2 linked regions of the Notamacropus eugenii genome follow. The protein of the gene in region 2 purifies or fractionates together with the protein of the main gene of each other region. This does not show direct contact. Links are inferred from orthologs where the notes say so. Each region holds a gene or a part of one and is shown on either strand. Other genes may lie near its edges.

What was found. The genes of interacting proteins can lie anywhere in the genome.
Region 1: the proteins of WWC1 (region 2) and AMOT purify together in Homo sapiens (affinity purification with mass spectrometry; 3 studies listed by BioGRID and IntAct, with this or other methods). This does not show direct contact. The link is inferred for Notamacropus eugenii from reciprocal best matches to the Homo sapiens genes WWC1 and AMOT.

The regions. Positions count from the first base shown.
Region 1 is NC_092879.1:97,025,869-97,035,542, reverse strand, and holds the start of AMOT (angiomotin), read right to left. Parts: upstream 4,907-9,674; 5' UTR 4,798-4,906; intron 1-4,797.
Region 2 is NC_092872.1:399,338,065-399,347,938, reverse strand, and holds the start of WWC1 (protein KIBRA), read right to left. Parts: upstream 4,815-9,874; 5' UTR 4,659-4,814; coding exon 4,540-4,658; intron 1-4,539. UniProt on the Homo sapiens protein: Regulator of the Hippo signaling pathway, also known as the Salvador-Warts-Hippo (SWH) pathway.

The DNA.
Region 1 (9,674 bases), on a different chromosome or scaffold from region 2:
CTGGTTGCAGTAGAAATTCATAGAAGGTCAGCACTGGAAAGAAGTCAGAATCCCTGGGTTTCCAAAGCACATTCTGTGTGCGAGCATCCAGAGCAGAGTGAGGATAGTGAGCACAGTCACACCTGTGGGCACACCTTACTTGCCAAAGGGCTAAGTGGAACCTGTCTTCAATGGTCAGTGGCACTTGCTTCAAGCCAGAGGAAGATCTGTAGACTAGATCAGACCAGCTCAAAGCGGTCCAGTGGGAGCTGAGCAGTACAATGTGTGTGGGTGGTATATGTAGCCAGGTACCGGTGCCAGCCATTTCATATGGGGAAAAGGCACTGGGCCCAAGATGTTTGCCACAGCCACAGCAGTCTGGGGGAAGGGGGAGGGGGCAGAAGCCAGAGGTTACAGAGCCTAGATGAGGCAAGGCTAGGCCAGGCCCAGATGCATGCTCACTGTACTCTCAGAGGGTCCACTTTCTTCTGAAGGGCTCAGGGCTCATTTTTCCCTCACATCCATCCCATGAAGAGAAGGCAGGCACATTCTCCCTACTTAACAACTAGGGCAACTGAAACCCAGGGAGAACTTAGTTTGGAGGTGCTGGGTTCAAGCCCCCATGCTGTTCCTTGTGTAACTTTGGGCAAAGTCTCTTTCCCGTTGGGCTTAGTTTTGTCCCCTGTATACCCAAGGGGCTGGTGGATTTCTACCTGTAAACCAGAGTCTGCCTCAGTTATCCAAGTGGGACAGGTGGGGAACCAGGACTCCAAAGGCTCCCAGCTCTGGTCTGTGGGTCCTTCATAAACAGACAAATCTTCCCCTAGGATTCCCAAGAGGCTGGCCTCCAAGGAGAGCAGAGTAGGTCAGCACACAGCCTTCGAGGCCGAGTGAGGGCCAGGGTGGTGGGGGGAATAAGGCTCAGCACACACTCAGGGACTCACTCTGCCACGCTGAATCCTTGGCTCAGGTACTGGGTGAGCACAGGTGTGCCATGGAGCAGGTGCAGGGCTGGAAGCCAGCGTTCCAGAAGTTCATACCAAAGGGCCTGAGTCACTCCCCAAGGAGATGAGGCAGAGCAGAAGAGAGGAGGGAGAGAAGAGGAGGGAAAGGGAGACTGGTTCCTCCCACCCCTTCCCTTCCTTCCTGCCACTACCTGTCCTGATCCAACTCCACAGGCTCTTTGGCCTGCCCAGGGAAGCTTGGGCGGAAATCACCTCAAGCACAGGGAAATCTTTCAGCCAACATTCTCCTCTCTCAAAGAATCCCAACACCTGCTTGATCCGGGAAAGCACCAAAAGGACCTGGAGACCAAGAATTATCATCTCAGGCCTTGGCCACAAACCTCAAGCTGTATACTGTCCTTCCCTCTAATCCATAATATAGAGAAGGATATCAATGGCCCAGGAACCTTGCCATTGGGCTGCCAACACCCCATGACCTGACTGGTCAGAAACACAAATGTCTTATAGAGTCAACCTCAAATGTTATGTGGCTGACTGGATGTGTTCTGGACAGCCAAGCCACCAGCCTGGGCCACCGTCCATCATAGCCACCAGGCATCGGTGAGGTCCCAGGAAGGAGAGGGCAAGGAAGCCAGAAGAGAGAGGCCAAATGAATGACAGGGAAATCAGATTTCTCCCAAACAGATATATCCATGCTCATCTCTGCTACCAAGGGCACAATGCTGGCCCCCAAGTCTGGGATTTAGATCTTGATTGGGCTTTGGGGAGAAGGAATCTCACTAATTCAGTACAAATTTCTACTCTTTGGAAATAGCCCAAATGAGTGGAGTTGAGTGGATTGGAAGGGGGCAGGGCACATCAGAGTTTTCTAAGGGCCAGTCTCAGACTTGACTCTCCCCAAACAATTTCAGAAAAGTGTGTCCGACCTGGCCAACATTTGTATGGTCTCTTTCCTGTCTTTTTAAAGAAAGCAAAGAAGGAAGGAAACAATCAGAGCACCCCCAGAACCTCGGCTGTCTCACCGCTGTCCCTGGGAATACTCATCCCACTACATTCTGTGATGTCAGCAACCCCCTCCCCACAAATATGCCAAACATGTTCTCCTCCCTCACCCCAAGGCCTGGGGTTTCTCGGCTCCTTCTCTGATGGAGTCCAGGCCTCTGGGATAATGAGGACCATGTGCAGGGAAGACGGGCTTTGGGGGAACACCTCTCCGTGCCTCAGCCTTAGCGACCTTAGGAAAAGTGAGCAAACTGCTTCTGGCGCATCATTTGTCCTTACTGGGGTTGGGGGGGGGGGTCAAGCTCCATGCTCTCGGGGCAGGGGGTTGTGTAAGAATGGCAGTCAGGGAGTGGGCCAGATGCTGGGGTGGGGGTGGGGTGGGTAGAGTGGGGTGCACAGACACCCAATCCTCCTTCTCGGTTTGTCCACCTTGACGGCTTGCCATGCATGGCAATGCGTGTGCTCCTGGTAGCCCTGATAAAAGCCAGTTGTGGTGAGGCAGGCCTCAGTTCCTGGCTACCATCAATAGGTGACATAAGGCAAATCTTCCTCTAAAAGCTTGACTTTTGCCCCTCCCCGCCACCCTTAGCGAATCTCCCTTCCCCCACACCCTTTCTTTAATCTTTTGGACAAGGCTGAAAAGCTTTAAAACCTTCATTGGGCACATTCCAGTCCTCACTGCTCTGCAAGATGTTTCTTAAGGAGCTCTCCTGTGGATCAAGCAAGATATTCACCTAAAGGGATGAGGCCTCACAGCCCCTGCTTGTGAGGGAGGGGGCGGGGAGGGGCTAGGCAAGAGAGCAGGGCTGGACAATCCTACCTACCATCACTTTTGGCTACAGACTGCCACAGGGCATTGCACATCAGCTAGAAGAAAGGGGTGAAGGATCAGAAGAAAAGCCAACTTCATTAAAAAGACACCCTACGATAGTAGGTGGTAAGGCTGAATGGGGGATCAGGGGGACTGGGTTAGAATTCCAGCCACCAGTGTGACTGTGGGTAACTCACATTCCTCTGTCAGCCTCAGTGTTTTCCTCCGGAAAATGGGAGAGTGGGGCTCACAAACCTCAGAGATCTGGCTCTAAATTTACAATCCAATTTTTTTTTATTAAAAGCCTTTTCACTAGATCACTAAGTCTGATGTGTATCAAGAATCATAGATTCAGAGGGAGATCTTAGAAGTACTTCTTCCAGAGGAGGACATGGAGGCCCAGATTGTTGGAAGCCTCAGAATCTCTATGAATCCTTCCCATTCTTTTTTCATAGAAGAGCAAGCCAGGCCCAGAGAACTTGAGTCACCCCAGGCCACATAGCAAATCAGGGTGGCTTTGGGAATGTACCTTCAAATGCTGCCCAGTCCCCACATTAACACTTTCTGAGTTGATGACAAGTCACCATCTCAAAGCTAGCAATGTCAAAGGAATGGCTTTGCAGATATTTTTTTAAATAATAGCTCCCATTTATAAACATTCCATTTACTGTCTTTCTCAATCCTCCACCCAAACAGGTCACTTGAATTCCCACTGCACTTTTCTATTGGGCTACAACCAAATGCCATATTTTATAAAAATTTTAACTTTGAATAGTGTGAATTTGAAAGCATATGATCATTATTTGCACTAACTGGGACCCAGTTGTAGGGGCTATTATTGTCCTCATTTTACAGATGGAGACACTGAGACTGAGAAAGGTTGAGTGAGTTGTCCAGGATCACACAGTTATAATAAGTATCTGGGGAAAGATTTGAACTCAGGTCGTCTTGACTCCAAACCTAGTGCTTGACTCATTGGCCTACATGTAGCTGCCTCTAGGTCTGCACTCTGTAAGCTTATCTACTCTAATGACCATGAGATCCTAGAGTTAGAGATGTAAAAGACCTTAGAGAATGGGATCCTTTTCAGAGCAAGAAACTGAGGCCCAGGGTAATGAAGCCACTTGCCAAAGGTCATATAGGCGGCAACTGACAGAGCAGGGATTGGAACTGAAGACCTCATATTTCAGAGTCCAAGACTCTCCCCAAAACCTCAGAGTCCTGGTCATCCCATTCCAGCAAGGCAATCCCAGAATTCACTGCTATGGAGGTTTTATTCAGCCATAGCTAGAAGTGGGTGCCAGTCTGTCAGGAGTTCCCAGAAGGCCTGGCAACCCAGCCAACCAAGCCAAGGGCTTAGCCCTGGATGGGACAGGTCACTCACTCACCAGGCTGAAGATGGTAAACTCCATCACTCACTGGAAGCTCCTCCCATCATTCCTCCCTTCAGCCAATCCCAGGTAGCCCAGTCACAGCAACTTTACCTTTCGCAGCTCAGGTATGTCCTGATCCATGGAGGCAGGCCTCCCTGCCAGCTGCCCTCTGCCCCAACCTCCCAAGCACACAACCACAAGCCCAGGCTCTCTGCCAGAATCCCAGAAAAAAGCTCATTCCTGAAAAGCAGCAAAGAGCGGCAACGGCAAATCGGCCTTGAACCTCCCCTCCCAGAGGTCCCTGATTCGAGGCCCTTAGTACCTGCCAAGCTTGCCCAAGTGCTTTTCCCGTTCTTTGTCTCTTTCCTGTAGCTAAATCTCATTTCGACAGGTCCCATTATTCTCAAGGTCATTAAAGAAAGTGATTTGTGTTTCCCACCCCCCCCCTCCTCCCTCCTGGGCCTCCCTCATTCCCGAAGCATTCCTGGCACACCCAGGCTGAGGTTGTCTTTACAGGGTGTCATGACACCCTGCCCTAAGCAGCACTGCCGGATGATTTAGGAGCAAACCGCAAACCTTGCCTTTCCCTGTGGGGCAACTAGAAAACGATGGCCTGGCGGGTACATAAGCATCCTCAAAGGCAGAGAATGCAGTGGGGCCAACTCACCAAAGCTCCAACGCTCTGTCAGCACTCCCGGAACACACCACCGCCGCACAAGATCCCACACAGGATGCACTGGGCCCACGTCACGGGCACACACATGCACAGGGAGGCCTCCTCAGAGACCTGATACTGAAAGGCAATGAACGCACAGGCATTAAAGGGAATATCATTAGCATCCATCTCCCCCAGGCTTTACCTTTCCACCTAAATGGCCACCCCAGGAAAGCACATGAGGCCCGAGCAGAAAACCAGCTGGCAAAAGGCCACCCCCATGGAGGCACGGAGTGTGAACCCCAAGGGGCCTCAGAAACGACCTAGTCCAAGCCAGATCTGAAGCAGTCCCTTCACTATAGGCCAGACAAATGGAGGAGAGAGGAGAAACTGAATTTCCTTCGTAGGCAGCCCCGTCCACTCTGGGCTAGCCCTCAGCATTAGGAAGACTTTCCTGACAGCAAGCCTAAATTTGACTGTCTGTCTCCGTCTCCCTCCACTCCTCAGCCCCAGCTGCTGGAGCCTTCCCTTCTGAGGTTACCTTACATCTATGCCCTCTGGATCCCTGGATCTCTAGGTATACATGTCCCCTCCGGTCCAGCATGAGCTCCCAGAGGTCAGGGGCCAGTCTGTGCTTTTTCTGTTTCTCCAGCACGTACCAATGTGCCAGGCACACAGTAAGCAACATTTAATAAATGCTCACTGATTCACAGCCAGCTTCCCCTTCCTCTCTCAGTTTTTCCCTCTGGGGTCAGACAGACCAAACCTAATCCTTGTCCGAGACAGCCAGCCTAGGAGAGAGGTGGTGGAGCATTTCCTCCGTTGCCCCCTCCCTCTTCTTCCCCCCTCCCCCACCCCATCTTCTTTTCCAGACTCCCAGCGAGCCTCACACTGCAAGAGCAGGAATTTGAGGCCCATACGGGAAGGGTAGGGAGGAGCTCAGAATGGGATGCTCCGAGGTTGCCTATCCCAACTCCTTCTTTTGACAGAGGAAGAAACTGAGGCTGTGGAAGGGGAAGGGATTTGTCCAAGGTCACATAGGGAATCCATGGCAGTAATTGCCTAATGAGGTGTCCTTCTGTTGCAGTGGGCACAAAACCCTGCACTCCCTGTAAAAACGTGGGGAAGAACGTCGGCTCAGAAGTGCTAGAACCCCAATGCTCTGGCCTCTATGAAGAAGGAACACAGCAGCCCTGCCATGTGCCCCCCTCCCTCACAGCCTCCCCTGCTTCTCCCAGCTCTCAATCACTCAACCTATGGAGTCTCTTTTCTTCCCAGAAAAGGTCAGGGAGCCATCACAGTTTCCCCTCACAGGGAACCCCTGGAGCAAAGGTCATTTGTTCCTGACTTGGGAGTGGCAGGCTTGCCTCAGGATCTTGCTGGGTCACCTAGACCAGAGCCTTTAGGCTGCTGCTAATTTTGCCAAGTAGGCCCCCAATACCAGATGTGGCCCTGAAAAGGCAGCATTTTGGCGGCGGTGGCGGCAGCGGCTGCTGCTGCTGCTGCTTAATTGAATTGGTGTAAAGCAAGGCTCTTTCAAAGGGAGCTGGTTATTTTAGACAAAGCCCCAGTGTATTCTTCCCCAAAGCCAGGGGCCCCTCAATGGTGAGTTGGGGCATCTCGAGGGCCCCTCCACACAAAGGCCCACTCCCACTAGTGTACTATGGGCTTCACTTTAGCCTGTCTACAGTATTCATCTTCACCAAAACATAAGGGGGAGGGAAGCAGACAAGGGAGATGGCTCTCCTCCTCTCTCAGGGTACAGAGGAATCAATAGGAATGGGTGGGGGAGGGGACTGCTTCGAGGCCTCAATAGTAGGACTAGAAAGTTGACATTGCCTCATCTGACCCTTAGGACAGCCCAGGGAGATAGATCTCCATTTTACAGATGAGGAAACTGAGACTGAGTTAAGCACCTGAGGTGGGATTCAAACCTAGGACATCCAGCTGCTCTGGTCATTGACCCTGTGGCCACCCTGGTTATTTGACTCTTCCAACAATAACAGAACCCTCTACATATAGAGGCACTCAGAAGTTTGTCAAACGCTTTTCACCCAGACCCTCTCACTTGGTCATCATGATGACCTTGGGGGAGAAACGTGCACCTCTGAGTGGAGAAAGAAGCCCTTGATTTCAGAGACATTCAGAAAGCAAAAGAAACGGAGCCAAAGGTGGAACACACACACACACACACACACACACACATACACACACAAACACACACAAACACACACACACACCAGTTAGAAGGGGGAGAACCCTCCATTCAGAACAGACAGGAACTCCTTGTAACTTAGCAAGTCACTTGTTTGGCAGCAGCTGAATGAGGGGGGGGAGGGAAGATGCTCAGCCCCAGCAGCCTGGGTACATTTGCCCAGTCACCATTCTAAAAGACCTCCCCCCCCCCATCACTCCCATGGGTTTCAACTGGGTTCGATGGGTGCATTCCAAATGCTCAGTCGCCATGGAGGAAGGTACCTGGCTGCAAGCATTTCTCTGCATCTCCTCAAGATCGGCCTCCCCCTCCTTGACACAGAACTGCAGATCTTGGGGAGAAACTGAAGAGACCCAAGGGGAAGGAAAAATGTGAGAAACTCATCTTGCATCCAAATTGGGGTGGGGCAGGGGGAATGCCTTCAAAAGCTGGACTTTTCCCTAAGCCTCATTCCTAAGTGGAGGAATGACAGAAAGAAAGGGCTGAGGAATTATAAAGCCACCCTTTTAAAGGATGAGCAGACCCTGCAAGGAAGCACAGAGGCTGATGTGTCCGGGATCAAGAGGTCAGCTAGGCCATGCCCCTGCCTTTGGGCTCAGGGAGGGCTCATCCCATTCTAGAAAAAAGAATTTTCTATCTTAGTCTTTAAAAAGTCCCCAACCTCAAAGACAGCATTCCCCGCCAAATTTTCAACTAGGTTTTGTTTAAAAAACTTCAACTCTGCAGAATAGAAAAACAAGATGTCAAAAGTTGAAATAGTTCCATGCGTCATCCCACAGACCTGGGCAACACAAGATACTCCCAACACTCAAAGGGTACAAGGGATATTTTCAACCTGTTAGGTAGAAAGTCTTCAAAAGATTTAAGGAAATGAAGGTGGGAAAAACGACCGTGTTTCCTAATGGATGGAGAGATTTCCTTAGAGTCCTTCAGTCCTGGGTTCTAGTCCTCACACTGACACACTCAGGTCACTTTTTTTTCCTACCTCTCAGGCAATGCTCTGAGTATCTACACTAGTCTCTACACTAAAGGACAGGTTTTGGTTTTTTTTAAACAAAGACAAAAAACTGCATGAAGGGTTGGAATCAGTGCCTTCCTGTGTATTAAATCAGAGCTCTTTTAAGTGTGTGTGTGTGTATATATATGTGTGTGTGCACGTGTGTGTGTGTGTTCACACCCCTGCTCTCATGGGCTCATGCCCAGAGCATGTTTGAGCAATACGGAGAATGCACTTCAAAGAAAACAGTTACTTTCTCCACTGGGGCTTCGAATGTCATATTTGGATCATGTAACCAAGAATCGTCATTCACTGAAGTGTGACCTTGGTTAAGTCTTGCCCTGTTTGTGGGCCTCAGTATTTTTCTCTGTAAAATGAGGAAATCATATTAAATGCCCTCCTAGCATTCTTTCCATGCCCTCCCCCCCTCCCCAATCTAGGAACCTTCCCACTGATACTGTAACTTCTCCAAAGAAAGAGGTCTGTGGAAAGTAGAGGTACAGAAAATGGTAGTTGAGGTCACCCAACAGGCATGGAATACAAGGCTCTGGATTTGGGCTGAAAATAGGAGTTAGCAGCTGGAAATGGAAGGAACCACTCCATAGAAGCACCTGGCCATTAATGAGTCCCAGGCTGCCTAGAAAATGCACAATTTGGTCAGTCCAACTCTTCTCTTCCAGCTGATCTGAAATGCTATACCCTTTAAAATTGGCACCCAATAACCTCCCCTTTCCCCTGCCTGCTTGTGTGCCAGCCCTCCCCTTCCCCCTCCCCTCCCCCAAGTCAAGCAAAGAAAAACTCTAAAAGGCAATCGGACATATCTTGGGGCCGGGGGGTGGAGGGGTGGAGGGGGGGGTGGGGGGAGGGAAACAGGCTCAGAGGCTCAGAGCTGGGCTGGGACCACAACCATGGTCATGGTCTTAGTGATGTCCTAAAAATAACAGAGAGGTGAAGAGCCCCTCCCCACCTCTCCTTTGCCCCAAATCCAATTTCAAACTACTTTATAGCAACCTGATGAGGGTGCTGTTCGAGGAGACTGGACAAGAGCATAGCTGAGCCTTCCAAATGTGTGTCCCCTAAATGGGTGCCACAAGCCTAACCTGATGTGGTCCTAGCTTCTGGAATGAGGGAGGCTGCCTGGTTAGTCAGGGCTGGACACTCACAGCTTGGGCACTGGCTAGTTTAAACCTCCCAGCACAACTCCTTGAAGGCAAATGTGAGAAGTATGAAACATTCCCAGGGTACAGGATGAGGAAACTGAGGCATAAGGTGGGTGGATGACTTGTCCAATGTCCCACAGCAAGGAAGTACCTGGTGGGATTCAAACTCATGGCTCTAGACGCCCCTTCCACCCAGAGCCCTTCACTCTACCACACTGGGCACCTCTCACCCAGCCTTGAAGAATGACTGATTTATGGATGGGAGGTGGGGGGGGGGGGGGGAGGGCGATCAGTCCATGAACATCTGGAACAACTATAACATTCTATTCCTCCTTTTTTCCCCCCACCCTCACTCCAAATGCACTGGATAAATCTAAAAGTTGAAAGTGTCTGCTAAGAGGAGAAAGTGCCAAACAGCCCGGGTCCCTTTCTTCCCCGTCTCTTTTGACCCGGGTTGCCCTTGGCTCTAAGTTCATTATCTGTTGCCAGTCTATGCCGATTGTCACTGGAATCAGCA
Region 2 (9,874 bases):
CGGAGCCTTTAGCCCAGTGGGCAGGGAATGCAAGCTGCACATTTGGCTCTCTAAGGTTGTTCGGACAACCATTTGCAGGAATTTCAACCTCCCAGTCTTCCTCTCAGTGAAGGGGAAAAGCTGGCAGGCCTGGCTGCCTGGCTGCTCTTCAACTCCCCTAGTGAAAGGGAAGCCTTAAATCGGATTCCCTACCCCCAGCAGCCTCCCTCCATCCGCAGGACAGCACACAAAACAGCTTTACCCCCAGAGGGAGGAATGTGCCAAGACATTCTTTCGAGTTGGTAACTGGAGAGTCTGTTCTCTCCACCATGGCTAAGAAATTACTTTTCTGACTAAATAAACGATCATTCTACATAACTTCCCTAGATGGAGGGATGTGTGGGCATCTTTTAATCGAGTAAGGAAAAAGCCAGGGCAAAAAAAAATACAATTGCCAGAGAAGAAAAGAAAATCATCTTGTTTTAAAGCATTAACTAGTTTTAGACATGTAATTACCTTGGCAGGATCTTACCCCCTCTAAGAAGGAACTGTACTGCATTTAGCTTTGTTAAAGTTGGAGTCACGCCGCCTCCTCCTCCCCACAGCCCTTCACCTTCCATCCAGCCTCAGTGTCAGGAGGTCTGCAGAGATGCAGAATTCTTAGAAGAGCATAGAATTTTAAAGCTAGAAGAGCCCTTAGAGTCACTTCACCATAGAAGCCTCAATCTAGAGCTAGAATTTGACAACCATTTATTAAATGCTTACTGTGTGCAAGGCATTATGCTAGGTGCAGGGAATGCAAAGGGGGGGGGGGGGGGGCAATCATTGATCACTAAAAGACTATAGTCTTTTGTGAAGGGACCTTGGAAAGCATCTAGCCCAGCTTCTTCCCAGTCCATTTTACAGATGAGGAAACTGAGGCCACGAGATGACGTGCCAGTTCATGTAGATGGCTGAGTGGTAATGCTGGGATCTTTTTGGATCTTTTTACTCCAAATCCAGTATTCTTTCCCATCCACCACAAAAGCCTTTCTTTTTACATGTGAGGAAACTGAAGAGTCAGAAAGGGGAAGTAATTTGTCTATAGCATACACTACTAGAACACAGTTGCTGGTAAGCAAGTCATCAGGAAAAGGTCAAAGGATAAGAGACCTAGAGTTGGAAGAGATTTCATCTAGTCCAGCCCCCTCATTTTATACATAAGGAAACTTGAGGCCTAAGAAAGTAAAAATGACTGTCCCAGTCACACAGGGAAGGGTTTAAATTCAGATCCTCTGACCCCAGAACCAATGCTCTTTCCATTGTATCTTGCCCCACCCCACCCCCATATCACAGGATCACAGATTTAGAGCTGGAAGAGTCCTCAGTAGCTTTGTAGTCCAACCCTCATCATTTTACAGATGTATTAATGTACATTTGTACAAACTGTACAAATGTACTGAGGTTAGGTGACTCGTCCAAAGTCACCTAAGAAGTAAATGCCAAAGGTGGGATTTGAACTCAGGTCTTCTGACTCCAAGGGCAGCCAGATGGGGTAATGGATAGAATAACAGGCCTGGAGTCAAGCAGACTCATCTTCCTAAGTTCAAATCTGGCCTCTGCTGTGTGACCCTGTGCAAGTCACTTAACCCTGTTTGCCTCAGTTTCTCATTGATAAAATGGGCTGGAGAAGGAAACGGCAAACCACTTCAATATCTTTGCCAAGAAAACTCCAAAATGGGGTCACAAAGAAAGTCAGACATGACTGAAATGACTCAACAACAACTTCTGACTTCAGAAGTAGCGTTCTTTCTCCTGCCCTACACTACTTCCCTAAATTCCACACATTCCCAAATCAGATGACATTCAGAATCAACACAATTCCAAATTCTTAAAGCCAGCATCCTTAGAATCTACACAAAAAATCATAAGACCCAATTCCATCTCATAATACTGAGCAATCCATATCAGCAAGGGGGCTAGTCTGCCAGAGGAAATGTTTTGTATCAGGGCCTCCAAGGGGTGGAGATTATAGAACTAATAGGATGTTAGAATTGGAAGAGAGTTTGAGATTATCCAGTTTAACCCCTCAACAAATGAGCATATTTATATTTGTGTAGAAGGAGGGGCAGCAACTAGGGTTTGAATCTTTAGGGATTCCCAATGCCCTGGAAACCCAGGAACATACATGTGGATGCTTAGGTGGATCTGGAGAGGGTTCCCTTTGAGAAGTGGGCAGGGGAAAAGAAAGTTTCTGAGATCTTGAGCCCTTGGCTTCTTCTGAGAGGCCATGGCAAGAAAAGTCTGAGGGCACAGCTGATCTGTCTGATGATTCTAGAACAGGGTCACTGGTATGTGTGACCATGCAGTATGGTACAGTGGAATGAGTACTGACTCTGGTATCAGAGGGCCTATGTGACCTCGTAAAAGTTATTTAACCTCTCTTGGGCCTCAGTCTTCTCATCTGTAAAATGAGGGGGTTGGGCTGGATGGTGTCTAAGGTTCTTTCTAGTTCTATATCAGGAATCCTATAGAACTTGAAATAAATATCAAATTTCTAGCATGAGGCAGTGAATAGAGTATTGGACTTGGAGTCAGAAGAGCAGGGTTCAGATCTTCTCTTAGACACTTACTAGCTGTGTGACCCTGGACAAGTCACCTAACCTCTTTAGGACTTCCAGTTCTAAATTTATGATCCTATGATCTTATGAAAGCTAAGAAGAAAGAAATGAGCAAGGATTCATCAGGATAGCCATCAGTGAAAGAGTATCGAGTCTTGGATTCCTGGTGCCTTCCCCTTTCAGCTGACTTTCTAGGGACTTCATTTTATAGGTACCTAAATGCCACAGGGCACTCATACCAGCTATGAGGGATCCAACCTATATCATCTCCATGGGTCTTAGTACTTTGTAGACCATAATACCAAAGGTAGATAGGGCATTTCATATTGGATACTTTCAAAGACCACTTTGGAGAAATTGGAACCCAAAACGCACTGATTGGCCAGGACTCTCAGAAGTGGGGAACAGTGAAGGGGCAGCCCCTTGGGCCTTCTCATCATCTGCCTTTTAGCAAAAAAGGGGAACGTAAGAGAATAGGCACTTTATTAAGCGCTTATTATGCGTCAGACACTGTTCCAAGCACTTTACAAATATCTCCTTAGAAAAATAAGCACCGAGTGTTGCTCGGAGGAGGAGGGAATTATTGTTCCCACCAGGGCCAGGACATATATATCCCTGCTCCTTCTAGTGCAAAAGCATGGGGTGAGAAGTTCTAGAGTGGGAAGAAAGAGGAGGAGGAGGAAATGGTCACAATGGGTACAAGAGAGGCCTCTCACCTCCATTAACATTATAACAGCTTCCAAGTAGCTGTGACATTCTTGGTGAGCCAAGCTGCTCAGCCCAGGTTGCAGGCTATCTGGGTTTCCCCACCCTCCCTCATAGCCTCCCCTCTCACTCATCTTCCTGTCATTTCTGCTTCCTTTCAGCTCACTGGTTGCCTCCCCATACCCCTGCCCCCCCCCCAATTCCTTTATGGGAGCCTTTGATGGCCACTTGAGTGTGTGATAACTGCACAGACCTCAGCTCCCTAAGGCCTAAGGCTTCTTTACTGACTCAATCCCTGCTTTTCCCTTGTATTCTCTTAGTCCTTACCACCTTCCAGACCTATACCTTATCCATCTACTTCCTCTGGGTACTGACTTTTTCCTAGGCCCCACTCCTCCAAACACTCATATTTCCCAGATGTTGGGGAACCACACTCTTTAGAAACTCTAGCTCTAAAAGGCCCTGTTGTATTCCTAAGGACATCTAGTCTGTCCAATCTCTCCTTTTTTTCTCCAAGTCTTACCTTTTTACTTGCTCAGGTAGTTCTGGGGGCAGGGGAAAATAATGGGACAAGACTGGTGGGGGCATTCTTGAACAACAACTAGTTACTTTCCGAGAAAAGGCCCTGTAGTTCAAACAGGTGCACTCACTGATGTTTCCTTGTAGGAAGAAGCTCCTTGCCCTACCGTCTGGAAGATGGGAGGAGTGTGTGTAAAAGCTTGTGAAGTGAGTGGCCTCCGCGAGGTCTAGGACAGTTAAGACCCCCCAACAGTGACCCCTTTCAACTCTTAAGGTGGAAGAGTTCCTCTGCAGGAGGGAAGCGGAGTTTTCCCCTTCACTGGAAATTGTCAGTAGCCACCCCAGACATCTGAGCATCCCCTAAGTCTTGGGAAACCAGGGAGGGCTCTCAGGAGCAGGTGCTTGGCCAAGAAGATGGTGGAAGCCCTGCCCCGCCCCCGCCCCCAATACAGGCACCCGCCAAAACATCAAAGCACATTTTTAAAGGCACCAATCTTATCGATAAAAGAAAGGGCTGGGCTGGCTGATCCCTGAAGTCTCCTGCAGCTCTAGGGTGCTCTGCGAAAAGGAAGTCTGACACCTGCCCCTCGGATACCCCAGCCTCGAGTCACCCCACCCTCGGGCGGCCTCCTCCCCTTCCCCCACCGAGTGGGACTGGAGGGGGCAGGAGGGGTGCCACCGGGAGGGCCCCCAGGGCGGAGGGAGGGCGATTCTCCCGCCGCCTCCCACGTCCTACCTGTCCCGCGGGTCGATCCAGCTGGTAGTGCGACTGGTGTGGTCGATGTAGTAAACCTTGCCATCAAAGTCCCGGGCCTCCTCCCAGCCCTCCGGCAGGGGCAGCTCCTTCCTCGGCATCTTCCCGAGCCGGTCCGCGCTCCCCCATGCAGCTCCCGGCTGGGGGGGCCCGGGGCTCAGCGGCGCCGGCGGGGCTGTTCGGGCCCATGCAGCAGCGGGGGCCCCATGGCCGGGCGCGGCGGGGGGAGCGGCGGCCGCGGTGGCTCCGGCCCAAGGGCAGCGCGCCCGCTCCTGCGGCACAGCCCGGGGCGGCGGGGGCGGGGGGCGGGGGCGGGCTGAGGCCGGGCTGGCCGGGGCGCAGCCGGCACCGGCACGCGGGCACGGGGCGCCGAGGGGGGACCGGGAGGGGGCGGCGCTAACGGGTGCGGGCTGCGGCGCTGTCCATTCGGCCCTGCGGCCCCGGCCCGGCCCGGGGCTCCGCTCCGCCTCCTCGCTCTCTGCTCACCGCAGTCCTCTGCCTCCCTCGCCCATGTGCCGCTCGGCTCCCCGGCAGGCGAAGCGGTGCAGAGCGTGCGCGCGTGTGGAAGTGGAGCGGGGCGGGGGTGCGGAGGGGAGGAGGGAGCCGCTCGCCAGCCGCGGGCTCCCCGGCTCCGGCCGCGCGGAGCGGGCGCGGGCGCTAGCGCCGGAGCTGAGAGCGGGCGCCAGCCGCCCCGGGCACTCCGGGCTCCGGGCTGCCTGTCCTCCGGGCTGCCGTCCTCCGCGCGGCTCTCCCGCCTCGCTGCCCTCCTCCGGTTTCTGCGGCGGTCACGGCAGCGACTCTCCCTCTGCCCCCGCCTCCGCCAGGTGCTGCCGCGGTAATGCAGGTAACCGCGCTGCCCCGGAAACAGCGAGCCGGGAGGCGGGGCGCAGGACGCCTGGGTTCCCTTGGCTCCCCAGCCAAGCCGGGTGCCAGGACCCGTGGGGCTCTAGCCCTGGGGTCACTGGCCTAGTTCTTTGGGACTTGGGCCACATGGCGAGACCTCCGGGGCCGACCTTCATGTGGGGGCCAACCCTCGGGCTGGAATTGACCTCATTAGCCTTGGCTCTGTCCTCCACTTTCTTCATCTAGATAAGTGAGAGAAGCTGCAAGCAAGGCTTCCCTTGTCCTGGCTTGGTGTCTGAGCCTGTGACTGCAGTCGTCTAGACTACACATCTGGATGCGCTTCCACGAAATCCAGTTTTCCCCACATGCCATCCTCACTCCTCCTGCCTTGTGGCAAACTTGGCCAGCGCTGTCCTACCTTTACCACCTACCATGTAAAAGTAGTCAGTCCCCACACGGAGAAATTCTAGCATTCGTGAAAATGAATCAGAGAGCCTGGATTAAAATCCTTCCCCCGTGTGACAGTGGACAAACGGCTTAACCTCTCTGAGCCTGAGCTTTCTCTTCTGTGAATCAGGACTAGGGCTTCCGAGTTCTCTTCTAGTTCTACCCTATAATCCAATGGTGTTTTGTCAGATTCTGCCCTTGCTTTATCAGTCTGTTCCTCTCATCCAGGGGTGGGGAACCTTCGGAGTCAGTCAAAGGGTCGCCCTTGAGGACCTAGAGGGCCACAAGTGGCCTCGAGGCCGAAGGTCCCCCACCCCTGCTAAACTATCTGTGGGCCATTCACTGGGTTCCCCTAACCCAACAACTTTTTCCAACTCTTCCTGTCCTCTCTTCCCTTTTCTTTGTATTTCAGAAAGCTCTCTTGTTTCACATCTTTCAGGTGGCCTTCCTTAATAAACTGAAAGTACGGAAATGGCTTCGTGTTCACACATATCTTGTGTGATATTCATGTTACTGACTAACAATAGCCATTTTATTTCGGGATCTCTTATCCTGACGTGTTAGATGGTAAGGGGCTGAGGCCTGTTCTCTATTTCTTCAGTCACCTAGTACTCAACTCTTTGTGATCTCTCAGTCAACATGAATTGAGGGAAGGAATGAATCTAACATTCGTTTCAGGGTCTCTCATGTCTACAAGATGTTCCCACTATACCAAACCTATCCCCTACATTTGACTCATATGTCAACAGGATCATGGATTTAGTGGTAGAAGGGATCAGTTAGATGAAGAAACTGAAACCTAGAGACAAAATGTCTTGCCCAAGACCACCACGGTAAATGGTAGAGATGGGATTCCAACCTAGGTCTGATAAACTCTAAATCTACCCTTGTCCTTCAGCTTTTCCCACTGTGGAACACTCTCTTTCTTTCTCTCTTTCTCTCTCTCTCTCTCTCTCTCTGTCTCTCTCTCTCCCTCTCTCCCTCTCTCTCTCTCCCCTTCTCAAAGTGTTTTTTAATATCACAAAAGCCTGATTCTATTGGCTGAAGCCCTTCCCAAAATGTGACAGGACAACAGATATCAAACTCTAAGGTGGAATATACAAAGTACATCCTAAACAGTTCAAAGTTCTCCCAAGATCCCACAGACATATATCAATTCTCTCTGGGGGACAATCGTTCCTCTGTCCCTTCCATTCACTTCCAAACCTGTCTTTTCAAAAACAATCAGATCCTGCCTTAGATAGTTAATAGTTGTGTGATCCTGGTCAAGTGACTTAACCTTTATCTGCCTCATTCCTGAATTTGTAAAATGGGGATAATAATAGCGTCTACCTTCCAAGGTTGTCATGATGACAAAATGAATTTTTTAAAAGGCTATATAAATGTTAAATGTTAATTATTGTTATTATTATTATATAGACAGATGGAACAAGAATATAAAGAAGAGAGACATGGTAAAATAAGAATTAATATTAATATGATACTTTAAAGATTTGTAAAGTATTAAAGCATATACATACTCACACACTTAATAGCCTAAAACTGTGTTAACAGTTTTGGAACACCCTAATCACATTCTAGTTTCACAACAACACAACTGTCCTCTGAGATAGGTACTACAGATGTCCTCATTCTACAAATGAAAAAAAGTGAAATAAAATGAAAAAAAAGCACAAGAGAATAAGAAGATAAAATATCTTGTTGGACAGTCCCTGTACTGCAGTATTATATTTCTTTAGGATGTCCATAGAAAGAGAGAAAGGTTCCCAGCACGCTGAATGGACGACTAGTGGTGAATGGATGGATGGATGTGGATCAGAATGGCATGAATGGGGTATGATATATACATTATTGGAAGATCACAGATCCATCCGAATATTTGAGCAATATCCAATTGGCTTGACCATGATCAGTTTTACTAATTGTTTGTTTTTATCCTTATTTTTATTGCTGTCATCATTTCTGAAGAAATCCCTCCCTCTCCCCTATCCAGTGAGCCATCTCAACTAATAAAATTTAAACAAGGGAAAAAACAATATTTCAGCGAAACAAATCAATGCATCACTTGTGCCTGACATACAGTATTCTACCTCCCTTGTCCCTCAACTCTGCAAAGGGGAGAGGATTTATTTTTCAACCACTGCTTCTGATTGTTAGTGGCTAAAAATGAAGGGATTCACTAGATAGTAATTGATAGGTCATATTCTAGTAGACATAGCTTATGCTTTAGGTCTACTAGATATCTAGAGGATTTTGTGTCCCTTTAAGTACAGCAAAACTTCTAAGTGCTACCCTTTCCCTCATTTTTAAAAATTTTGAATGCTTGTGTGAAATATACTTCAATAGAACTGTGATGTTATCCATGTGATTACTCCCTCTCCTCATGAATATCTACCCATCCATGCCTTAGATCACGACTGGAAGGACATTAGAGTACATCTTGTCTCATCCTATCTGTGTTCTTCCAGTAAGCTTTCTGAGGTCAGGGACTGTGTTGTGTTTCTCTTTCCTAGATTGTTGGATGTACATTGTGTGTTGAATGTAGCAGAGGACATGAACAAGAATAGGACAGGATAGGCAGACTTGTATGGGTTGTGGTCCAGAAAGGCAAGTTATACAGGAATATGTTAGAGAGAATATTCCATAGATAAGATCACAGTTCCTGGCATGTAGGAGATGCTTAACAAATATGTGCCAAATCCTTCCATAGATCCTTCACAGAGGATTAGCTTCTAGAAGCCTTTTTTAGGTCTTTTCACATTTTATGGGTACCAGTCGAGTTCTGTCAGTCAATCCATTTGTCGTCGGTTCTACACGAGATGCCATCCCTGTCACCTGACTGGCCCACTGCCTTTTCTCAGTGTGTGATTCATCAGTGATACCCCTTACACTGTTTCTTGCTTTAGGTTACCATTGGAAATATGCTACCACCTACTTGTGCCTGCCATGTGTCATTCCATTGCCATTTAAATTCCTTAGAGATTTTGATATTCCCACCACATATATAATAATCTCATCACAAGTCATTTTACTAGGTTAAGTAACAGGAGGGCAAGGTAGGAAGTAGAAGGAAACTGGAGGAGTCAGGAGGGATAGGAAATAAGAGATACACACAAACATAAAAATAAAGATCCAGTGTAGAATTCGTTAGGGAAAGTAGATGTCTATATACGTATGTATGTATGTATGTATGTATATATATGTGTATGTCTATACATAAATATATTCTCACTTAATTGTAGCCTGGGGGGAGGGTAGGAAGGAGGGAAAAAGAACAAAGTAAAAAGTGCACAGAGAACAAAAGAAAACTTACAAGGAAGCAAAGAAAAGATGGACAGCTCTCAAAACAACATGTAGTGTTTATCATACAGGTTTTCTTAAAATGAAAATTTATTGCTATAGATTTTGAAACCTCTTATGTTTTGTTGTGCACATAACATGCTTTTTTCTAAGTTTATGATGTGTTTTTCTTTTCTCTATTTTGTTCTCTGAGTTCTAGTCTAAGAGAAAAAACTAAAAAAAGTAATTTTTACTTTGTCTTGTTTGGCAGCAGACTGTTTTTCTTGTTAGTTTTGATTATCAATCCATCAAGAAGTATTTATTGCTAGGTGCCAAACCCTAGGCTAGATGCTAGGGATAAAAAGAAAAAAAAGAAAGACCTCCTGCTCTCAGAGAGCTTTTTTGGGGGTTTAGGGGGTGGGAGAGAAGAGGTGGGAAGGGAGGAGACAATACGTATACAGGAGATCTTGATATGAAATAAATACAGCATGATTTAGGGGAGGAGGCATAGGCAGCTGGAGAAATCAGGAAAGGTCTCCTACAGGAAGTGGCATTAGAGCTGAATTTTGAACTTCAAAGAAAACTAAGAATTCTCTCCCTCCTCCATTTCCATCTTCTGGCTCCTTTGACTTCCTTCAAGCCCATCGTTGGGAATATGCTAAGATCTCACCTTGGCAAGGAGCATCTCCTGCCCCCCCTTCAATGATTGTGTCTTCCTTCTGTGATTATCTAGAATTTATCCTGTCTA